3 linked regions of the Lonchura striata genome follow. The protein of the gene in region 1 purifies or fractionates together with the protein of each later gene. This does not show direct contact. Links are inferred from orthologs where the notes say so. Each region holds a gene or a part of one and is shown on either strand. Other genes may lie near its edges. The genes, in order: RBPJ, FBXO42 and FHL1.

The links.
Region 2: the proteins of RBPJ (region 1) and FBXO42 purify together in Homo sapiens (affinity purification with mass spectrometry; 3 studies listed by BioGRID and IntAct, counting the BioPlex papers as one, with this or other methods). This does not show direct contact. The link is inferred for Lonchura striata from reciprocal best matches to the Homo sapiens genes RBPJ and FBXO42.
Region 3: the proteins of RBPJ (region 1) and FHL1 purify together in Homo sapiens (affinity purification with western blotting; 4 studies listed by BioGRID and IntAct, with this or other methods). This does not show direct contact. The link is inferred for Lonchura striata from reciprocal best matches to the Homo sapiens genes RBPJ and FHL1.

Annotation. Positions count from the first base shown.
Region 1 is NC_134606.1:18,657,526-18,665,112, forward strand, and holds the start of RBPJ (recombining binding protein suppressor of hairless), read left to right. Parts: upstream 1-4,492; 5' UTR 4,493-4,532; coding exon 4,533-4,552; intron 4,553-7,587. UniProt on the Homo sapiens protein: Transcriptional regulator that plays a central role in Notch signaling, a signaling pathway involved in cell-cell communication that regulates a broad spectrum of cell-fate determinations.
Region 2 is NC_134626.1:6,609,865-6,617,221, forward strand, and holds the start of FBXO42 (F-box only protein 42), read right to left. Parts: upstream 3,046-7,357; 5' UTR 2,961-3,045; intron 1-2,960. Other genes in the region: SZRD1 (SUZ RNA-binding domain-containing), read left to right, coding at 6,858-6,908. UniProt on the Homo sapiens protein: Substrate-recognition component of some SCF (SKP1-CUL1-F-box protein)-type E3 ubiquitin ligase complex. Specifically recognizes p53/TP53, promoting its ubiquitination and degradation.
Region 3 is NC_134616.1:6,663,447-6,671,404, reverse strand, and holds the start of FHL1 (four and a half LIM domains protein 1), read left to right. Parts: upstream 1-4,958; 5' UTR 4,959-5,085; coding exon 5,086-5,188; intron 5,189-7,958.

The sequences.
Region 1 (7,587 bases):
ACATGGATATTTTTACACTTTATCTTGCTGTATTCCTTGTAATGAATGACTTTGTAATCCTGCATCTTAGAACTTTAATCTTAGAACTGCTTTGGTGCGTGCACACATTAGCCATGGCAGAAGGTCAGGGCAGCACAGCCACCAAGGTGGGGCCTGGGGAACCCTGCTCTGCCACTGCCTGTGAATGCTGGGGTGCAGGGGGCTGGCACTACCCGGTGTGTGGTGGGCAGCCACATGGCATTTTAGCCTCCAAATGATTCACTGAGGTCTGGTGGAACCTGCAGGGACACCCTGAGGATGAGAGGACTGATGGCACCAGCCATCACTGCAGAGGGCTGTGCATGGGAGGCAGGGCTAAGGCAATAACCTGGTGCCACACTTAACTGGTGGACAGGCATCGTGCATGAGTGGAGGAATGCTGAGTGAGAGAGGTTCAGAGGTGCACTCTTTGTAGAGCCCAGTAAAACTAAGGAGGTATGCAGGGTAATTTACATGCAAACTGACAAAACATTTCACCCAATGGAAAATAAGATACTATTCTGGGGTAGGGTGAGGAGCAAAATTTAATACAATGCAAAGTGTCTTAGCATGCTGTTCTAGAAAGTATTTAAAAATAAGAGGTTATAGAAGTCAGTCATCAAGCTGTTCACACTGTTAACCTATATAACCATATGATGCTATTACTGTTAACCTCATCTTCCCTCCCTTCTTCCTTCCTAATGTTTGCTATACTCTTTTCTTCTTGTCTTTACTCTAAAAGAACACTCTGGGAAGGGACTGTACTTGCTTTCAAGGCAACACCATAATGAGGCCCAAGCTTGACTATAGCCTCTGGGGACTGCCACACCAAGGTATACTTACACCGGAGCCCGCATTACGACATGGATTCAGATTTTTTCTTTGTTCTACCATCCTCTTTGAGACTACAACACACAAGCAAAAACTATTTAACAATGCTCCTGCTGCAGACTGCTAACTAGGGTATTCTTTCTCTTTGTCATCCTTAAGACAATGTTGCAAATTCCCTGAACAGTGTTGAACATCAGCATCCATTTCAAACAGCAGACATTTCTGACATTGAGCTGGCTGGCGAGCAGCTTAAGCGATAACTTTTGTTGGCACATGCACCACAGTTCAGATCTAAGAGATGCTCTGTGGGCAACTGCCTGTTTATTTGCTTTCCTAGACACGCGATTGAACCACACTGTACATCCTGTGCTTATGAAATCCCAGCAGGGTTGTATCACAGTACCTACCACTCAAATGTGTGATTTACACCACCTACAAACTACAACGTCTCAAGATAAACCTGCTCCTTATAATGAAGAGATCCAGATAACTGCGGTTCTCACTACCTACAGTGCTTTTTAAGGTCACTGAATTTTAAAATAGCTGGGATTTCAGAGGACACACTGTGAGATATTTTTTGGTAAGACAGGCTGATCTGAGACAGAGTCTCTTGTCCCCTTGCTCATGTCTCACATGCTTGTGCTAAGCACATAAGAAACATGGAATTGCTTCTACAAAAAAGTGTGCAGGTCTTTTGTTTTCTCATCTTTTTCCAAACCAATGAGGTGGGAAGCAGTTGCCAAATGAGAAGCATATTAATTAGCTAGTGTTGTGCCCAAAGGAATGAGCTTATGGGAAGCCCAGAGCCAAGGCTGAGCTGGAGAAAGTTTGTTCTGGACCGGTCAAACAAGCTGTTGAAATTTTTGGCCTGGTTATCGCAGCTTGCATCTCATGCTCCCTGCTCATGACTGCCCTTCTCCTCCAAAGCTGGGCTTCTTGAGCACTGCTGGCCAGCAGCTCCTGTCCTGCAGCACCATTGGTGGGACAACACTCCAGGCCAAAAGACCTCCCTGCCCACACCAATGGCCTGATCCTAACAATTCCGTAGGCTCGTGCTAGGCTCCTTGTCTTTCCTCGTCTTTCCACACAAAGCAAGACTGAGTGCACAGGGGAACCATATGGATTCCCAAAATGAAGCTGCTGAGATCCACTAAGCACTGGCCAAGTGGTTCTGTCCACAAAACATACATGTTGGTGAATCCAAATTCAAGGCGGTCCTGTCCCCCAGTTGACAAGTGAGAGTAAACTGGATTTCCTGCATGAACAGCCTTCCATTTTCGAAGGTGGCTAATGATTCTGAGCACCCAGCTGGAGTCACCTGGCAGGGCATCTGCTTGGAACACAGGTGAGGCCCAACACCTGTGGAAGTCACATCCTTCAAATATGCCTGCAAGCTGTGATTTTCCAAATGGTTTCTGAAGTGTCAGGCCTGATTCAGAGCCCTTTTGACAACCTCAGCTGAGCTTAAATCAAAAAGTCAAACTACTAATTTACATAGCAAACACAAAAATTTAAATGGTGCAAACCTGGTATTTAAATTTTTCTACCTCAGCTCTGGAAGTGCTTATATTTGTTACAGGCCAGAAGGTGAGGTCTAGTTCCCTGCGGTAGTGGATGCTTTTGTTTCCAATAAAATCAATAGAAGCTGTTCACAATCTATGTGAAATACAAACTTTTAGCAGCAAGAAAAAAATTCAATGCATAAACAATATTTAAAAATCCTTTAGGGTTATTATCTTTTCTTCCACCAGCTATTCACATGAAGTTCAAGCTATTGTTTTTGATTGGAATAGTATTCCTGGCCTTTTGAACTGTAGATAATTTATAATTTAAGAAAACAAAATCAATGGTTATTTGTTTTATAATGTACTGCTGTCAGTGATGGAAAGGACTACAATGGTTTCTATGATTATTAATTCTTCTAAATAATATACCTGCTCCAGTATCCAATTAATCTGATTATTAACCAAAGTGCCTTCATTGTCAATTATTAAAAGAGACCAGACACTGCAGATTATTGTGTGCTATATTTTTAGATTTTCCAGTTTGATTCAAAACACACTAAAAGAGGGGCCCCACAAAATAACCATCTAGAGACAGTCCATGGCAAACATCCAGAAACTATTCTTAACGGAATGGAGTTAGCATGAGCTGAGATAATTCTTTAGCCTTGGGAGAAGAAAAAAAAAAAAAAAAAAAAAAAAAAAAAAAAAAAAAAAAAGAGAGAGAGATGTTTTTAGGAAAAGATTTCCAAACGGATTACGAGTTGCTCTTTGCAAACAATACAGATTTCCAGTATGCATTGTGTTTTTGCCGAGAACTGTGCGCACAAGGGAGCCAATCAAAGTCCTCTTGTATCTAATGAGTAGGGGGAAATCATGATGGGGAAAGTCCCTTAATGACAGGAGACAATAGCTGTTTGTACAGTGACACGTACAGAAAACTTTGTCACTAAGGAATCTCTTGAAACGTGTTTTTATTTATCTGAGACATTATTCATTCAATTAGCATAAGCAGTGAAGCGCATATGTGGGCAAGAAATCTGAAATCTTATTCGTGGGACTACTGAAATGTTATTTTTCCCCGTAATTTGGAAGACAGCAGACGTAGAGCTAACATAGTAAAAAAGATGTGGGCTTTGGAACCTCAACAATCTTTAATCAATGTAGCATTTGTCCCGGAGTTAGACTGACGTGTTATACTAAACACAGACGAAGTTGAAACAGACAGAAGTCTTAATGTAAAAGGATTATTTTTCAAACTTAGTCTCCTAATGGACAATCACACCCGCGCCCCGAAGGGTGCTGTTACATGAATCCAGAATAGGGATCGTCTTTTTCTGTGGTCTTTATCAGACGTGGAGCACAGCCCGTGCGGCAGATCGCTCGTGTCCCCGTGCCCGCACTCGGCCGCCTGTGGCCACGGGGCTCGCTCAGCTGGCTGGGACCCTGCCAGACCCCGCTGCTTCTGTTTGCTAAACAAACGCATCTTACGCACTTCAGCTGGGGATGAAAACAAAGTTATGAAACCGGGTTTCTCATGTAAAACTGACTTCTACAAAAAAAAAAAAAAATATGTTAACAATTCCACGCGAGGAACCCGAGAGGTCTTCCTAAGAGCTGAGGCTCCAAACCGCAGCCCCCCGCCCTTTATTCACCGTCAGACGAAGAGCTCCCCGCGCCCCGTGCCCAGCCCCGCCCCACGGGCCCCTCAGCACGTGCCGCGCCCGCGGGCAGCACGAGGCGCGCGGCCCCGCGCGCTCTCCCCGCAGGGGGCGCGGCTGCAGGCGGCGGCGGCCGCGGGCCGGTCCCCGCGCGCCAGCGGCGGCCCCGCCCCCCGCCCCGCCCCGAATGGCTCCTCCCCCTCCGCCCCTCCTCGCGCCGGCGGGGGCGGGACGCGCGAGCGGGCAGAGGGAATCCCTCGGTTTCCCCGGAGCGCGCTCCGCTCTCGCGAGACCTGCGCCGCTGTCCGCCTGCCGGCCGGCGGCGCACTCTCGCGAGAGCGGCGCGGTTCCCACGCCCGGGCTGTTGTGTCTGAGGGAGCAGCCCGGGCGCTGAGTGGGCGGCGCGCACCGCCCCCCCCCCGCCCCGCGCGTGTCTCGCGGGCCCGCGCACGCGCGCTCTGGGCCGTGGGGAGGGGGGCGCTCTCGCGAGAGTAGGAGTTTTGGCGAGAGTTTGTGGAAGATGGCGCCTGTTGTGACAGGGTGAGTGCGGGGCGTTCGCGGCGCCCGCCGGAGCCGCCGCCGCCCGCGGCTGCCGGGGCGAGACCGCGCCGCGCCCTCCCGCTCGCTCCTCGGCCGCCGCTCGAGCAACGGGGCACTGCCCTCCGGACGGCCCGCGGGCGGGCCCTGCGGCGCAAACCTCGTGGGGCTGGGGTCCCGCCGGGTGGGCGCACGGAGGAGGCGCCCCGGGCGCCGGCCCGGCAGCGGCCGCGCTCTCCGGCCGCCCCGCGGCGCGGCAGTCCCGGCGCGGCTGGGCGCTCACTTTGCTCTCGTTCTCTCCGGCACGGACGCGCCGGTCGGGACTCCGTGCAGGGTCAGTGCTCATCCCGGCTGCTTCGGAGCGGGTCCCGCTCTGAGGGGTCCCAGGGGAGCGGCGGAGCCCAGCTGGGAGCAGACCTGGGGCTGGCACGGGCTCTTCTCCCTTCTCGCTCGCCCTGGCTCGTCCCGCCGTAGGCGTGGGTCCTCCAGGCTCCCCCGGCTACGGACGGGGAGCGCTCGGACAAAGGCGTTTGCTGCTGCGGCTGGAAGTTGAGCGCGGTGCCCAGCGCCCCTCGCACGGCAGGGCCGGCCGGGGCCCGGCCCGGCGCTGTCACTGCCGGCGGAGCGCTCCGGGCGCGCCGGGCGCGGGCGGCTCTCCGCCCCTGCTAGCGGGACACCCGTGCCGTCGGGCTGGGCGACCGAGGTTCCCTTTCTCTCCTCTCTGCACACCATTCCCAGGGCTTTGTTGAGTTTTAGCTGCCTTCCTTCAAATGCTGGGCTGCAAGGAAGGGTAGCAGCCTCCCTACGCCACTAAGCCACGCTGGATCATAATGAATGGTAGTCTCCATCCCTTTCAACCGCACTGGGTAATACTTAATCATGGCTAGCCAGCTGCAGCATGTGTCACTGTAATAAGTGACACTCTCTTAGCCACCTACAGCTGATGAATAATAACAGATCCACTGCTGGTATACAGTGTGCAATCACACCTGCAGTGTCACATTGCACGTTGCCATCCTTGCCACATCTTGATTGCTGCTGCTGCTGCTTTTTTTAAGTGCTGTATCCTTAATATTGCACTACGCTGAGCAAGTGTGACCTCCCTCTATGTGTTGAGGGAAGAGACAGGAGAAGAGCAGGCTGTATCTGTACTCCACCTGTTCCAAATGAAATTTTGTCTCGTTAAAGTATTTCTAGGACTTTCTAAAACGCCGAACTTATTTTAAGATTTCGCAGTGTCTGTGACCTTCTGTCTTCCCTGTGGGATTACATTGTCTACAGCATTGGCTCTGTGGTTAGAGAGCAACAGCCTGCTTGGGGGTGGGGTGGAGTTGGTGGTTGATGCTTTTGTTCTTGTGGAGAAGGTAGCATTATGGTATTTTGTTGTTTTGATTAGCTGCAGTAGTGTTTCCAATTCCTCACTCTTGTTTGTCAAAAAATAAGTTGAAGCTTTTACTTGATTTCTTTCCTGAAGAAGGTGTCTTGTGGCTGATACAAAATTTCCCAATTAAATGTTCTTTAGGGAAGCTAATCTTGTTTGTAAATGATTCCTGGATTGTACTAGTTTAGAGGCTAGACTTGAAAGAAGGGAACAAATGCTTTTAAAGTTTGCTATAACTATTAGCCTGTGCTCCACTTAGTAATTAAGTTTTTCTATGTTTCTATTAGTTTACTCATCTGAATATTTGGACTCCATTTCCTTTTGTTTATTGATCATTACAGGATTGTCAGAAGTGATGTCATGTTTGTGACATTAGTTTTATCCTTTTCAGATGTGTGTTAAAATGTTGACAAAACAACTGTGGATTATTTTAAAAACAGTGATCAAATAATCAGAACAGTAGAAAAAAATGCCATTTTAATGAGAGTTAAATAATTGTTTGTAGTTTGGGATTTTATGCTACCTTTATTGTTTAAGCCCCTAAGTCAAATAATTATCTGGAAAAATAATTTTGTTTTCTTATTGTTAAATATTTCCAGTGTAGGTAAAATGAAATATGCTACCTTTTGTTGATGTTGTAGTTATATTATATGAAGGAGCCTGTTTTTTAATTGTTTTTATTAAATTACCTGTTTTTGGAATGTGGTTCTGATGCTGAGTTGTCTGTGTGTATTAGAATTAAAAATTGATGATTCTGCAGTAGGTGGTTGTTTTTTTTTTTCAAAATAGTATAGGAAGTTTTCGTTCTGGGCTGTTCTGTAAAAACTTACTTGGACGGGGGGAAAAAAGTGTTTTAAAAAGCAATAACTAAAGAATGTAATATGCAAATCCTGTACTGTGTTTGACTAGGCATCACATGGGCACTCAAACTTATAGCTCTTTTGCAGTCAGTGTTACTTGAATGAAAAAAGTTGTTTTGTTTTTCTTTCTTGTGAAAACTATGTGCCTAAGCTTAAGTTATGGTACATAGGTTTATGCGGTGTTGGAATGCAATAGCAGGAATTTCCTGCAGCACTTTTGGGGGGCAGTCAGAGTGTGTTTGTGCTTTGTTGTTGGCAGCATGTGGCACGCTCGTGCTGCTGCCTCACAGGAGCCTTCTGATGAAACTTGTGCATATGTACAGTGTGACAAGCCAAACTGCACAGTGTCAGAACCAGATACAGTGAGAAAGTAAACAGAAACATCAGACAAGTAACTTAAAAGGAATTACTATTCACAACTACTGTTTAAAAGAAGTGGATAATTTATGGCTGGGATTATAGGATAGTATTTTTTGGGTTTTGTGAAGTATTTTTGGTTTTGGTTGTGTACAATTTAGGGAAATAGCATTTTAAGATGACAAAATTAATGAACATGCTTCTTTATTATATTGTGAGCGCAAGCCACTTGTTTTTAAATAATTGCTATACTGCAAAAACACCTGTAGGCATCCATTAGCTTGAATATTGCTCTGCTAGGTCTAATAAAGCCATAGGTCAAAGAAAATCTCTAGTGCTATGAAACTAATTTTATAATTTTACAGTGACATAAAGTATGGAATGGTATCTTCTTAGTAGCCTGGGACAACCTGATCTTAGAAATACTGGAAGTGAACTCA
Region 2 (7,357 bases), on another chromosome or scaffold:
GCCACACCATTCACAAACTGAGAATGCACAGCCAGACCATCCCCAAGCTGGAAAGGCACAGCCAGACCATCCCCGCGCTCCCACTCCAAACCTGTCACTCCTGGCAGATGTGCAGACTGCTGCATGCATTGCATTTCCTGAGATTAAGGACGGGATGAGGAGCACATCCCAACACCTCTGCAGAAGGTGCCCGACGCAGTGGCTGCAATCCCCAAATCACAGGTCACCCACGTTCAGCAGTGGGAATGAACCAACCCCACCTTCATTCCAAGCCCAGGCAGGGCAGCAGCACGTGTACTGCAGGTGAGCTCCCCTCAGGGCTGCACCAGCAGCCAAACTCTGGGAAAAACGGAGTCCCAGGGAATAAAGGCTGGAGGAAACTCCAATTGAAACTGAAAATCGTATATGCTGCGTGTTGATAAAATGATTAAATTGTCCAGAGCCTTTCTGAATCCAAGAGCTTCACCTGCCACCCTGGAAAAGCAACGCTGCCTGGGTGGAGTCACCTGTCAGGGAACACAGCAGGAAAAATACACACAAACATCCCTGCCACGCCAAAACAACCACGGGATGTGGCTCTGCCGCCGCCCGAGCACGGAGACACGAACTCCTGCAGAACAGCGTGGAGCCCAACACCAGGGAACAACACCTGTGCAAGGCAGGCACCACCCTGCCCTGCAAAAAGTGTCCACATCACCCCACGCTCAGAATGTACAGCCAGACCATTCCCGAGCTGGGAATGCACAGCCAGATCATCCCCAAACTGGGAATGTACAGCCAGACCATTCCCGAGCTGGGAATGCACAGCCAGGCCATCCCTGAGCTGGGAATGCACAGCCACACCATTCCTGAACTGGGAATGCACAGCCAGACCATTCCTGAACTGGGAATGCACAGCCACACCATTCCTGAACTGGGAACGTACAGCCAGACCATTCCTGAGCTGGGAATGCACAGGCTTGGAGGGACCTGGGATAGGGGAAAGTGCCCCTGCCCATGGCAGGGATGGTCTGCAAAGCCCTTCCAACCCAAACCCTTCTCGATTCTATGAAACAGCTGCAATTCTGCCCAAGATTTTGCTCTTTTCTCTCCCATTTGTAACACCAAGGAAATACCAAGCCTAGGCGGACATAACCTGAGGGAAAAATCACGGTTTTCAGCCTTTCTTTGGCATCAGCATAAGGAAAAGGAAGGAGAGATGGTAGTGGGAACACCCAGGGCTGTGGGAATGAGGAAACCTCTCACTCTGGCACTCGTTCTCCAGAAAGGCCAAGCCTCGGCTGCGTGGCTATGTCGCGATATAAAGCACTTTGTCAGGACACCGCGGCACCGCCCCCGAGCCGCGGCTTCCCTGGGAGGCTCCGCTCCTGAAGGACAGGTGGGGAAAGGTCCCTTCCCATCCAGGGCGGGGGTTGAGGTCAGCAGCTCCTCCGCGGGAATTCACCGCAATTCCCGATCCTTCCAGCCACGGGGAAGAGTTCCAGCTGCTGACCCGAGCCGGCTCCCAGGGATGATTAAAGCCAGCCGAGCACAAACCACATTCCCGGCGATCCCGGGGTTATCTCCCATTCCCCGCTCCCCTTTTGTTCCTGCTCCGAGCATTCCCTGGAGTTCGGGTCATGAACAGCGAGCCACCCCAGCCCTGCTCCCGCTCCTCCTAAAAGATTCCCGGCCCCAGTGACGGGGAAAGGCGAGTGGAAAAGCCGAGAGGCTGGGAAGGATGAGATAATGCAGCTCCTGCAGCGCTGCTCAGCCCAGCCCAGCCCCGCCGTGACAAGCACACCGCCCCAAATCAATCCCGAACCGCGCTCCCAAAGCCCCGAGCGGACACCGGCAGCGGAGACAATGGGAGCGACACCCCAAATTCGCCGGGGGTGCCGGGCTGGGCAGCTCGATCCCGCTCCGAGAGCGGGGCACGGACACGCACCCGGCGGCTTCAAGCGGGGACCGAGCCTCACCTTTGTTTTCACACGAACACAACGCGAGCTGAGGTTTTGGGGGGGCACCCACAGCCATGTCTGATCCCCCCTCTAAAAAACATACTTGCCCCCAAAAAACCATATCCCCCCCCACACACAAGCTGTTTCCTCCCCGACGAGCCATGCTCTCCCCCTAAAAGCCAAATTTCTCCCCAAAAAAAGCCATTTCCCCCCACCACCGGCACTGCCAGCCTGCGCCTTGGCACTGCCCTATGCCAGCACTGAATTTTGGGATAACAGGGCTTTTAGGGGGAAAATTGAGCTTTATTTTTTTTCCTTTTTTTTTTTTTGGGGGGGGGGGGCGGATATGTTTTTTTGGGGGGAAGGATGGAGTCTGGGGGACAAACCTGGCTTTTAGAAGGGAAACATGGCATTTGAGGGAAAACATGGCTTTTAGGGAGGAAAATAGAGGTCTTAGGAGAAAAATGTGTTTCTTTTGGGGGAAACACGAGGTTTTCTGGGGAAGCACGGCTTTTAGGGAGAACATATGGCTTTTCTGGGGAAACATGAGGTTTTTGGGGAAATGTCCTTTTTGGGGGGAAACATATATTTTAGGGAGGAAGCACAGCATATCGTGGAAGAAACATTGCTTTCGGGATGGGGGAAAGCTTGGCTTTTTGGGAAGGAAACACGGCTTTCAGCGGGGAAATACGGCTTTTTTAGAGGGCAACCCGGTTTTTAGGGGGGCAGGCTTCGCTTTCTCCCCGCCCTGAGGGAGCCCCGGGGCTGCCAGAGCTGGGAAGGGGCTTCCCCTTCCCAGAAGGGGCTGCAGCCCCCCGTGGGCTCTGCCCTCCGCAGCCACCCCCAAAACGCTGTGAGGGACTGGCACAGGGGCTGGCACAGGGGCTCCCCTTACCCTCCACCCTCAAATGTGGTTCCCCTCCACACCAGGCCTGTCCCGCCCCGAGGGGCCCGTCCCGCCGCCCCGCTCCCCGGAAAAGGGCCTCGCCCGGGGAAGGCAAACCGCGGGGCCGCTCTCACCTGCCGCCGGGCCGGGCCGGGCCGGGCCCTCAGGGCTGCGGGCGGCGGGGCCGCTGCGTCGCCCCGGTGACGGCTCCGACCAGCGCCGCCATCTTCCCTCCCCGCCCTCCCGCCGCTGCCCCGGCCGCGCCGGCCGCGCACTGCGCAGGCGCGGGACCGCCCTCGACATCACGTGACATAGGGCGGGCGTGGAGTGTCCTTATGGTGCCGCCATGATGGGAAGGTCAAGTGTTCGCTTGGCGGCGCAGCGCGGGGAGCGCCGTGTTTGGCTGGTCCCGCCGCCATCTTGGGACGGTCCTAGTGCCGTGGTGGGCGAGGCGGGCGGGCGAGGCCGCCATGTTGGGGAGGGCGGCGCTGAGGCGGAGATGCCGGGGCGGCTCCCGCTCCTTGTCCCGTTCCTTGTCCCGTTCTCTCCCGCTCTCTCCCGGTGTCCCGCCCTCTTCCGCAGCCCCGGGAGGCGCGGCTGGGCCACGGGGACCCGCTCTGCCCGCAGGCAGCCCCGCCGTGTCCCTGCGTGCCCCTCAGAGGCGGGGAGCGCCTGAGGGCTCGGCAGGGAGGCGGGATGTGGCCGTGCCCTCAGGGCTGCCCCTCTCCCCACGGCGGTGAGGAAGGGAGGGAGCGGAGCCCATTCCATGGGGGAGCAGCCCTGCGCGGGGCTGTGTCTTGGCATCGCGTCCCGCCGGTGGGACATTATTCTCCAGGGAAAAGGTGATCGCTGCCACCCTGCGTGTCCCACAGAGCCGCATCCCGCATGGAGGAGCCCGCGCGGCATCCCGGCCCCAGGGCGGCTCCAGGAGCCCGTGGGGAGCCGGGATCCACGGCGAGGAGCCCTGGGATGGCCCGGGGGATCTGTGCAGGGCTGGGATAGCCCGGGAGGAGCTGAGGGATGTCCCTGTGCAGGGCTGGGATAGCCCGGGAAGAACCTTGGGATGTCCCTGTGCAGGGCTGGGATAGCCCGGGAGGAACCTTGGGATGTCCCTGTGCAGGGCTGGGATAGCCCGGGAGGAACCTTGGGATGTTCCTGTGCAGGGCTGGGATAGCCCGGGAGGAGCCCTGGGATGTCCCGGGGGATCTGTGCAGGGCTGGGATAACCCGGGAGGAGCCAAGGAATGTCCCTGTGCAGGGCTGGGATAACCCAGGAGGAACCTTGGGATGTCCCTGTGCAGGGCTGGGATAACCCGGGAGGAGCTATGGGATGTGTCCCAGGTGTCCTGTGCAGGGCTGGAATAAACCAGGAGGAGCTATGGGATGTCCCGGGTGCTCTATGCCGGGATGGGATAACCCGAGAGGAGCCGTGGATATCCCTGGCAGGGTTGGGATAACCTGGGTGCAGCCCTGGGATGTCCCGGGGGATCTGTGCAGGGCTGGGATAACCCGGGAGGAGCCAAGGAATGTCCCAGATGTCCTGTGCAGGGCTGGGATAACACGGGAGGAGCTGTGGGATATCCCAGGTGTCCTGTGCACGGCTGGGATAACACGGGAGGATCTGTGGGTGTCCCTGTGCAGGGCTGGGATAACCTGGTCACACATGTGGGTTTTGTCTCCTGTGGGATTCCAGAGCTTCCCTCTGGCTGCCCTGGCACCCTGGCAGGGGTCAGGAACCCCCCTGGACAGAGCCCCCAGAGACACTGGCTGTGATCTCTGGCCATGGAAAAGAGTTTTCAACCTTACAGGATCAATTACCAGCTCTGAGTGTTTGATATCAGTAATAATTGTGGCACGGGTGCAAAAGTAAAATTTTAGATGAGGGGTCCAAAGGGGACAAGATGGAGGAAATTGGGTGTGCCTTGTCCTTTTTCTCCTTCTTCATGCCCTCCATGTTTCACTGTGGTGTTGGCATTTTTCTGTTGGTTTAGGCTGGGGACACACTGTTCAAGATAAATTATAAATATTGGCCCATTATTGTAAATATGGCACACGTAGTTTCTAATATATAATGTTTGTGATGTCCCACTAAAAAAAGAGCCCCACACCTATGGCAGGGCAGCAGAACATGTTAGAGATAAGCAAGAATAAACAACCTTAACAACCAACACAGACAAATTATGGCTTCTTCTTTAGCAACGGGACAAAAAAACAGAGACTTCCTACAATCTCAGAATCACCAATACCACAAATTCCAACGGTCTCCTTCCAGGTGAGCCCCCTTTTTGTGTGCCACAGCCATCAGTGCCTCATTCCCAACAGATCCCGCTTGGTTTTTTTGGGCTGCTCGGGCTCAGGCATGGCTGGGAAGGGGATTTTTTACAGCAGGATGGAAGGAAACGTCCCAGGGAGCGCCGCTGGAACACTGGAAGGGATGAAGCCAACCGTGCCAGGCTCTGGCTGCTGGAAAACTCAGCTCCTGTTGCTTCTGGGAAAACGCCAGAGGATGAGCAGGAACAGCTCCAGCCTGCTGCAGCTTCTCCTGGTGGGGGGAAACGCCGAGTCCCGCCCCGCTGAGCTGCCAAAAATGCACAAATCCAAGGATTTAATGCCCATGGAGCACTGCACAACCCCCAGACCCCCTCCAACAGTTCCACCTTGGATAAACATCCCCCCAAAATCCACCTGCGGCCTGTCCGGAGGTTCCCTGCCCAAATTTTGGGCTTGGCAGAGGAACGGGAGACTCAGGGTCGGGGCAGACCGCAGGGATAAGGATTTGTTTTAGCTGGAGGATTATTGGGATATTTTTAGGAGTCAGTCGCCATCTGCCGGCAAACTCTGGCTCTTAGGTGGGAATTTGGGGAAAAATTCGGATTTTAAGGGTTCTCCCACTCCCTGTGTGAACCCTGTGGGGTTTTTAGGATGCTGAAGGGGCGCTTTTTGAGGGAGGAAAAGGAAAAGCAAATCCCACTCCAAAAAGCTTTGTGTGGCTCGGAGTGCAAAGGACAACATCGGAGTGGTGAATATCTTGGATATAAATGAGAAAGGTTTAAGAAATTATGGGGGCTTGGGGGATTTTGGATGTTTCTGAAGGCTGGAGCTGATCCTTGTGCTCCATAAGAGAAGATTTGGGCTTAAATAAAGAGGCACAAATTGGATGGAAGGACACACGGACACCTGGATGTCTGCAGGAGGGACCAGAGGCTGGATTAGTGGCTGAAATAGCCTAAATTTGAGGAGAGATTTGTCCAATAACCCAAAATTAGGATAAAACGGCTCAAAATTAAGAGAAAAAACCCTAAAACTAAGATAAGAGACCCAAAAATTTAAGAGAAAACAAAACTATAGGAAAACAAACAAACAAAAAAGGCCCCAAAATTAAGAGAAAGCACAACAAAATCAAGGAAAATCACTTTAAGGGAAAACTCCTCAAAATTGTGGGAAAACACACCAAAATTAAGGGAAAGGCCCTAAACTTAAGAGAAAGCACACCAAAATCAAGGGAAATCACCTAAAAATTAAGGGAAAACTCTTCAAAATTGTGGGAAAACTCACCAAAATTAAGGGAAAGGCCCCAAAATTAAGAGAAAGCACACCAAAATAAAGGAAAATAATTTTAAAATTAAGGGAAAACTCCTCAAAATTGTGGGAAAACACACCAAAATTAAGAGAAAGGCCCCAAAATTAAGAGAAAGCACACCAAAATCAAGGAAAATCACTTAAAAATTAAGGGAAAACTCCTCAAAATTGTGGGAAAACACACCAAAATTAAGGTAAAATATCTCATTAAGGGAAAACATCTCAAAACTTCCGGAAAACACAAAAATTGAAGGAAAACACAAAAATGGAAGGAAAACGCCTCAGACGCACGCGCCGAGCGCGGTCCTCCCGGCCGCCAGGGGGCGCTGTGGCGCCCCGCCCCGCCGCCGCTTCCCGCCCTTTCCGCGCGCCGCGCGTGCGTTGCCGGGCGCGGGCCGGCGGGCGGCGCGCGCATGCGCGGGGCGCGGGGCCCGGCGGCGGACGGGAATTAAAATGGAAGATGAGGAGGTCGCGGAGAGCTGGGAGGAGGCGGCCGACAGCGGGGTGAGGGCGGCGGCGCGGCGCGGCGCGGCGGGTCCGGGGCGCCGGGGGGAGGCGCGGGCGGGCGGCGCGGCGCGGCGCTGCTTGAGGGGGCGGCGGCGGGGCGCGTCCGGCGGCGCGGCGGCCGCACGGCGCTGCTAGGCCTCTTAAAGGGACCGCGGGCTCGCTCGGCGCGGGGGGCTGCGCGCCGCCCCCAGCCCCGCTGCTCGCCGGTGCTGCGGGGCCCTCCTCCGAGCAGCTCCCTGCCCGTCCTCCGCTGCTCGGTGCGCAAACCCCCCTGGGCTCGCACAGAGCTCCGCTGGCCGCGGGGTGAGGCAGGAGGGGCGAGCGGAGCCGGGATGTGCGACCCCGGCGTGGCGGCGCCCCCGGCGGGGCTGCGGGCGCACACCCAAGGCCTTTCCCCGGTCGGAACGTGTTCCGTCCCCGGGCACAGCGCCGGGAGTCCCGGCCCG
Region 3 (7,958 bases), on another chromosome or scaffold:
GACTGCTGTGCTGCTTGGCTGGCTCACTGTGGGATTTATTTGATGGGGATTTGAGTTACTTTTCTCAGCTCTGAGGCCAGGGCTAAGCCACCAGGGGAAAGCTGTGACTGGCAAATATCTGCCTCACGTTTGGCTCCACTGGTCATTCCCCCTGCCCATGAATGCAACTAAACTTGAACAAAGAAAGACCTAAAGTTGGCCTAAGGAGCTCACTGCCCTAAGTGTGAAGCTTTGGGGTAATAGGCTGGGGAATAACTGAGGTGGGGTGCAGCTGGTTGGCCCCATGAGGTTTCTGAATCAGACCAGTACATGTGGCAGTACATGTGGCCCTGTCTCCCAAGAGGAGTAGAGGAAGTTTTGTCTCCCCTCAGGGCTGTATGACCTTCATGGACATGTTCACACCTGTGGTCTTCACCTTGCAGTCCATGAAGGGGGCTCAGCCCACTGCTGCACACTCACAGCAGAAGGACTTGGCAGACAGAGCTGGGAAGAGAAACACAGCTCACGTTTAAGCAAGTGCATCTAAAGACTAAGACATCTGTCTTTCTAAGATATTTTTTAAAAATCTTCAATCTTTTGGGGCTGTCCCTTTTTGAGTGTGCACTGAAGGTCTAAATCTAACTGCTGGGACTACAGCAGGCACTCAACATCCTTTGATGCTGGGAGATGCAGCCTTGGCATCTTATCTGCAATGCAAGAAAGAGGACTAGGGATAGGAGGAAGTTGACTTTATTTTGGAGCTGATTCAAAACCAGCTCTGCCCAGAACCTGCTGCAGCCTCTCCTCTCCCCAGTCTTCTCTGGAGCCAGGGGTTGCCATGCTTTGTTTGATGCCTGCATCCCACCACACTGTCATAGCCAGAATGGGGAACAGGAGCTGAACAAAGCTTTGGGACTACAAAGCAGCTCCTGATTTATGCACAGACACTCCCCCCAGGCCCCAGTGTCACTTGGCTCCAGCAGCAGTGAGAGGTCTGCCATGTCAGCAACAGGTGATGGGGAGAAGTGCCAGTCAGGAGCGTGTGTGGAGGGGAGCCACAGAGCAGATGGCAGCAGGGAAATAAATTTGGAGCTGCCATGGGAATGGTCCTGGAAACAGTCCAGCCTGTAGATGGAGGCAGATGGGGAAGGACTTGGTTTATATCTCTTCCTGGTTTTGCTTTTTTTCAGATGGGCTCTGTTATCTCTTGACCATTCCTTCCTAATTATTATGCCCTTATCCCTTTTTTCCCCCCTTCTTATCCTGTCTTCTTTTCCGCCTTTTGTTTTTACTCACACTCTGTTTGAGCTCCTGGGCCTGCTTCCTTATAAATCTATTCCCAGTTCCTCTACCCCTACCTTCAGAGCTGGCCCAAAAAACTTCCTTTGGCACTGAAAGGCTCAGCTTGCTGCTGTGACCCAGCTGTGAGCTGGACCTCAGCCTGGAAGAATCCTGCTTTTGCCAGGTCTTGCCACTTTCCTTCTCTACTGTCCCTCTGAGCTGGTTCCCTGGGAGCACCAGGGGCTCACCTGGTACCTGGGGTGTTCATTCCCCTGTCCCTGCAGGGATGTCCTTGCTGGCTTTGCTCTGGATGTGGGCACAGCCCAGCCGTCTCTGCCCTGTGCTCCTGTGAGTGCCTGTGGGATGCTTCAGGGGTGCCAAGGCACAGCCTTGTGCACAGAGCTGGATTTGAGACTTCCAGAGCATTTTTGGGATATTTCACTTTCATCAAAACTGTCCAGTTTTGAAAGGACGAGGTGGAAAATTCCCTTTGTGGCTCAGGTGTGAGTGTGCCATGCAGGGTCTCTGGCTGGGGGCAGTCCAGTCTGGATATCCAAGCACTGCTCTGCAGTGCCTGCTCCTGTGCTGGAGCAGGAGGCGTGTTGGATACCGAGTGCTTGGAGAGCTGGATCAGCTCCCAGTGCCAGTCCTTGTGCCAAACCTGTCCAGCATTTCTGTGGCACTGGGGACTGCTGCCTCTTATGCCTCTCTGATGGTTCAGCTACACCTGTAAAGATCTTTTCCTTGGAGAGAGCTGTATCTGTGTCCTCTCTTCTCTCAAACCCAACTCTCTTATTGGTGGTCTAACTGCAAACTTTGCCTTTATACTAAAACAAAGAACTGATTTTAAAAACAGTTTTATTTCTGCCTCAGAAGAGCCAAGGAAGTTTATAGCTGAGATCTGTTGGGCAGGAGTGCTTTTCTGTGGGAAGAGACACACACGCAACCTGAGACATATAAAATAAAAATTGATCTGCCCTCAGACAGGAAGGGCAGGGAGCACTGTAGGACTCTCATTTTCTGGGGAGCCTGGTGAATGGCAGTGTGCTCTTCTGTGCAGGTGCACTGTGCATTGCCAGCAGCATGTATGGAAGCAGGAGGCACAGCATTACTTTAGGAGGTGCACAGGTGCTCTGCTGCTGGTATTTACTGCTGCTTTCTTTGATGATGGTGACTAATAGTTCATCAATGCCTGGCTTAGAGCAGCTCTCTTTAGGAGTTTCTGCCTGTTGAATGACAGCAGGATGTGTGAGCAAGCTGAGAGACCCAGACCTTTTCTGGAAGGATTCTTGGGGCAAGGAAATACTCTGGAAATCACAACGTGAATCATTTGTTTATCCGAGTGGATGACACTATGCCCCAGCCATGCTGCTCTGCAGTTGGACCTGCTGGGTGGGATCAGTGTGTCCAGGGCAGCTCCCTGGAAAACCTACAGGACAGGTTTAATGTTAAAAACATGACATCCCAAGCCTGCTGTGCCCTGCTGTGCATTCCCTGGTGTATTTGTAGCACTTTTCCCTCTGGGACCTGTGGGTGCCTGGTGCACAGACAAGGCTCAGGCAGGGCTGCCACACCTCTGTTCTGGGGCACCCTCTCTTTCCTGGAGGTGTCTACTCCTTGACACGTTTCATGGGGCAATGATGTCTCTCCTTGGCACTTGTGCTACATCTGCACCACCTTTGTGTTTAATCACCTGGGTTTGTGTGGATGAGGAGAGTCTTGGGCAGGAAAAGTGAATTGTCCAAAGTTATCTGGCTAAAACCAAGCAAGAAACCAAGAGCAGCAGTAAGGTTGTTCCTTTCCTGTTGCTGGACCAGGAGACCACAGATTCAAGCAAAATGGCTTTAATTAAAGTCTGCTCTGGGAGATCAGAAGGGGCTTTGCAGAGTAAGCTGTGCCAGGAGCTCCATAGGCATCCACACGTCTGGGTCTCTCTTGTTTCTTGGCCAAACGTTTCCCTTCTCCTCTCTCCTCCAGCCCAAGCCTGTTGTGGTGCTGTGGACACACGTGTGTTTGTGCACATGAAACGACATCCAAGTGTCCATCCCTGCTCTCCACAGCCCTCTGCAGCTGCCAAACTGCTGCTGGTTGCAGCCACCTCTGCTCGGGGTGTGGCAGCCACTGGCACTGCACAGAGACTCTGCTCTATCAGCCAGGATGGGAGCCAAGGCTTCTGAGGGAAATACCTGGGCATTCTGGGGAAAGCAGGAAATGACAGCTGGGTGGGAGGGTGCCAGAGCTTTGTGTAGGGAGCTAGAAAGGAATGAGAATGGTTAATGGTGCAAACTCTATGTGCATTGCCAAAAATGAACTCATGTCTGTAAATATTACACTGCGCACAGCAAGATTAGAACAGGAAAATACGAGTTGTTAGGGTTCCTGTTGCCATCTGAATTATGCAAACAATTTGCTGGAGTTTATAGATGAGCTGGGGCAGAATAACATTGTGTTTTTCCTCGCCAAAGTGTTTCAGTGCATTAGTATTTTAGCACGTTTCCCAGCCTCAGTGTGCTGCACCAGTGGATGCATTCTGTGCTCTTTGGAATGGCACGCTGTCAGGAGTGGCCTTTTCCAGGCCATGTTGGAAACTTGGAGATGTCAGGATGCTGGTGAGATGCTGAGCCTGGGCACATGCTGCCTGGGGGGCTAGGATGGGTGTGAAGGCTCAGGGAGTCACCAAGGCCAGTGCTGAGGCTGGAGACTGCACGTGTGTGTGGCTGAGGAGCTCTTGGGAAGCAGAGATGTTCCTGGCTGTAGCAGGGCTGCTCTTCAGAGGCCAGACACCACCACGATGGGCTTCCTGGAAGGAATGATAAACATTGGCTCTTCCCAGTGGCTGTCAGGGAGGTTCAGTGACTTTCCCACGGCCGTGCAGTGCGTCAGTGGGAGGCAGGATTGGCAGCTGGGTGTCCTGGCCCCTGGCCCTGAGCGTCCCCGGCAGTTGCATAACTCGGGGTGAGTGCGGGGCTGCGGAGCTGCTGCAGCCTGGGGGTCCCCACAGGAGTGACCCCGAGCCATGGCTCCCTCCCCTCCTGCTGTGACTTGGGTGGAAACAGGTTGGCTGGAATCATGGAGCTGAGATCTTCCTGAGAGCTTTGGGAACACCTGAGTCTAGAGGACAGAGGTATGAGCCAGTGCCTCTAAAGCCATGCTAGATGCTAGAGAAGCCCCATATCATGACACCCATCTTTCTAAGTGCTGCTCTTAAGGGATTTGCTCCCTTTGAGCAGTTAATGCTGTGAGCTTCCTTAAGGAAAAAGTTGGGGAAGGACCAGGAATGGCAGTTTTACTGGCAGTGAAACTTCAGCATGACCTCCATGTTGGCAGCAAGTCCAACCCATCCATGAATGTATGTGCTGGTGTTTCTGTGGGCTGTCAGCTCAGTCCCCAGGGGTACAGCCACATCCTCTCTGGGCCAGAAGACAGCTCCTCGCTGGCTACTGGGGCTGCAGCCCCCTGGCCCCCGCGGGGCTGCGATCACCTCTTCTCTTCAGCCATGGCAGAGCAGCATTCATGTTGGGTCTGTAATTTAGCTTGGGACTGTTACGAGACACAATCTCACTCTAAAGCCAAGGCCAAATAGTACCAGCATGGGGTCAAGTTCATGAGTTCATTCTGCCTTTGGGACTAATTTGGGTGCTGAGTAGCTGGGCAGGTATTTGACTGTTGCCTGCAGAGACCTAGAGGTCTCAGGATCCTATTCTTCTCCCTCAGATCACCTAAAATGGTAAGAATTTCCAAGGGGGATTAAGGTTGAGATCTCTGGGGAGGGGAGTGGACATCTGGTAGGAGTCCTGTCCATATTAATAGCCTCCGTTTAAATGTATGTTATCAAATGGGGCAGCTCCTTATCAGCCTGTGAACTCCATTACCTGCGGGGCTGCTGGTGACTTTGGGCTGCTGGCCATGGCTTTCCACAGGCACACAGGTACAGTGGGTGTGGGAGTACACCTGGTAAATGGGGAGGAAAGTTTTGCTAAAAGGCTCCTGTGCCAGAGAAAGAACTTTGAATGCAGACCTAAACCTCAGCAATCTGCAGCTGTAACTTCTGATGGCAAACGGGCTGATAACCAGTGGGAGACTGGTGCTGGAGCAGAGTGCTGGTGGTGGCCTCGTTTGTTTTGTGAAATGCATTGGATTTTAAATGTTTTTGTATCTGCTTCTGTGGGAAGGCTGGGGGTTAGCTGTTATTTGAGAAAGACTTGGTGAAAATAGGGGACAACACTCCTCCTTGCTGCAAGTTTATTGCAGTGAGCAGAGAAACCCAGAGCAGAGGGGAGACCAGTGTGTAAACCCAGATGGTTTTCTCTGCTCTGGTGGGAAGTTTGTGATTAGTCCCTCTTCTCTGTTTGTCTTTTAGTTCAGATGGGCTGACCCTTACTAGTGACAGGAAAATGTTAATTTTTCCATTAACACTGACAGGAATCTCAAGATCATATTTTACATGTCTACATGGCATGCAGCTCTGTGGTGTCTTCCCATCCTGCCTCATTCCTCTAGCCCTGCAGCTGAAGACAATCAGAAGCTCTTTGGGGGTTTTGAAAGCCTATCTCACTCTTAGCAGCTGTTTTTGTGCATATCCAGGGTGTATTCACAGCACAGTGGCGGTGCCATTGCATCTCTTGGTGAGGCACACCCCGAGGGTGGATGTGCCTGGGGACAGGGTGTCAGTGTGGGGCACAGCTCCTGTGGGCACCAAACTCAGCTGCTGCACCAGGAGCCAGGGGTGCTTGTGAGACTTGGGAACAGGGAGCCCCCTCAAAGCTGGGCAGAAAAGGCACAGTTTGCTGCTCAGCTTCCTGCTCAACTTCCCAGGACGAGGCACATGCGAGAGGCTGCTTGCACAGCACAGAACTGCTCAGGATTTGCTTGTGGGATGCACATACAGGTTATGCAGGACACCAGTGTGAGTAAATCTGACTTCTGTGGTATCATTTGATATAAGATGTTTAACTTCAGCCCACAAGACTGAGCAGTGCTGTAGCATCCTTCCATTACACTCCCAGCTATATAATTTTTTTCTTTCTCATCTTCCTCAGAGGATGTCCCCTGGGGCAGGAACTCACAGACTTGATGGTGTGTTGTAATATAAAATGCTGCAGGGTGTTCTGAGCAGATGCTGAAGTTGGACTGCTGCTGCCAAACAGTCACAGGACAATGTCTGATCCTGCAGTCCACTGGGAACCCCAGGGCAGCCGTGGGGGTATCACAGTGCCTGCTCAAGGTGGGGCTGGATCCTCCAGAGCAGGAGGAAATCTCATTTTGGCACCTGGGAGCCCCTGGGTGTGAGAAGGGCACCCAGCTGCTGAGGTGGGGCAGACCAGTGCTTAGCTGGGAACATAGTAGTCGGGTCTCAAAAACAAAACTTAATGCAGCCACAGAGTTAATTAATGGACAGGACTTGTTTTGTTTTGAAAGGTTTGGACTTTGCTGCTTAAACTCTGCCTAAAGTGCTCAGCTTTACTTGAGGCAGTGGTGCCTTGTTAGCCTTCACTGAGCTCTGCACTGAGTGCCAAAGCAATCCCTGGGGAAAGTGTTTGCGGGGCTGGGCCAGTGATTTTTAATAAATGGCACGTCCCTACTTCCCTGGGGAACTGTGAAGATTTAGTAATGACTGGGATGTGCTCACACATGGTGGCAATAGGACTGTAGGGAATGTTACTGGCAACTGCCTGAGGAACTTGGAGCTGTTCTTGCTCTAAATAAAGAAGCTTTCATTTTATCAACAGATTAATTTTTGAATTATAGAGTATGAGACTCGCACGTGCCCCAGCCTGGCAGTGGGAGAGCACAGCTCTGGTATTTTCAAAAATACCAGAACAAAAACGACCTATAAGAGATTTCTTTCTTTCCTTGGGCTTTGCAAATGTTGGTTGCCCAGGGCATTGTGCCAGTACAGTCCTGAGTGTCACTTTGCATTTGGGATTAACAGGACCCTTCTTTTAAGGGTTTCCCAGGTATTTATAGCAAACCATGCGACCTTGCATAGAGGAATGCTGAGAATAGTAACTCAGGTGACAGAGCAGGGCTGCCAGGACTGATCTGAAACAGGCAGGTGTAGCCAGTGCCTGGCACTGTGGGGCTGTGTACTCAGTCTGCTGAGAAAAAATAAAACTAATGTAGAATCACAAAGCACTTTTTTCTCCATGTGCAACTGTGTGTAGGGCAGAGGGTTAACAACTCCAACCTCATCTTCTTTCTTAAGTGGCAGAATAATCTGTAAAGTGTAAGTACAGTTTCTCTGGTTGTGTTTAGAGACTACACTTCAAGTTCTTCTTGGTGGTTTATCACATTTAAACATATTCCCCAGAGACGTTAACACATAGCCTGTGCTAAGTGCTTTGCTTATCAGCTGTGCTTCAGCTTCCTTCCCTGAATGCTTTGGTTCCATTTATTGTGCAAACCACTGTGATGCTGCTTTGGGTTTTTGGCTGAACTGGGATGAACCAGCCCAGGGTGATGCAGGAGCCCAGCGGGAGGCAGGGGATGTGTGCATGCAGCAGTTTTTGTGGGGTGGCACTGCTTAGGCCTTACCTTTCCGTGCAAAGCTGGCTGTGCTGCAGGGTGCAGATGTGGCCCTGACCCTCAGCACTGTGATTCCTTGGTGTCAGCACCACTTGAGGTGTCTGGAAGCCCCTGGGGCCCAAGGGTTTGAGATCTCTGAAGGATAGAAGGTGTGGCTGTCCAAGGGCTGTTCT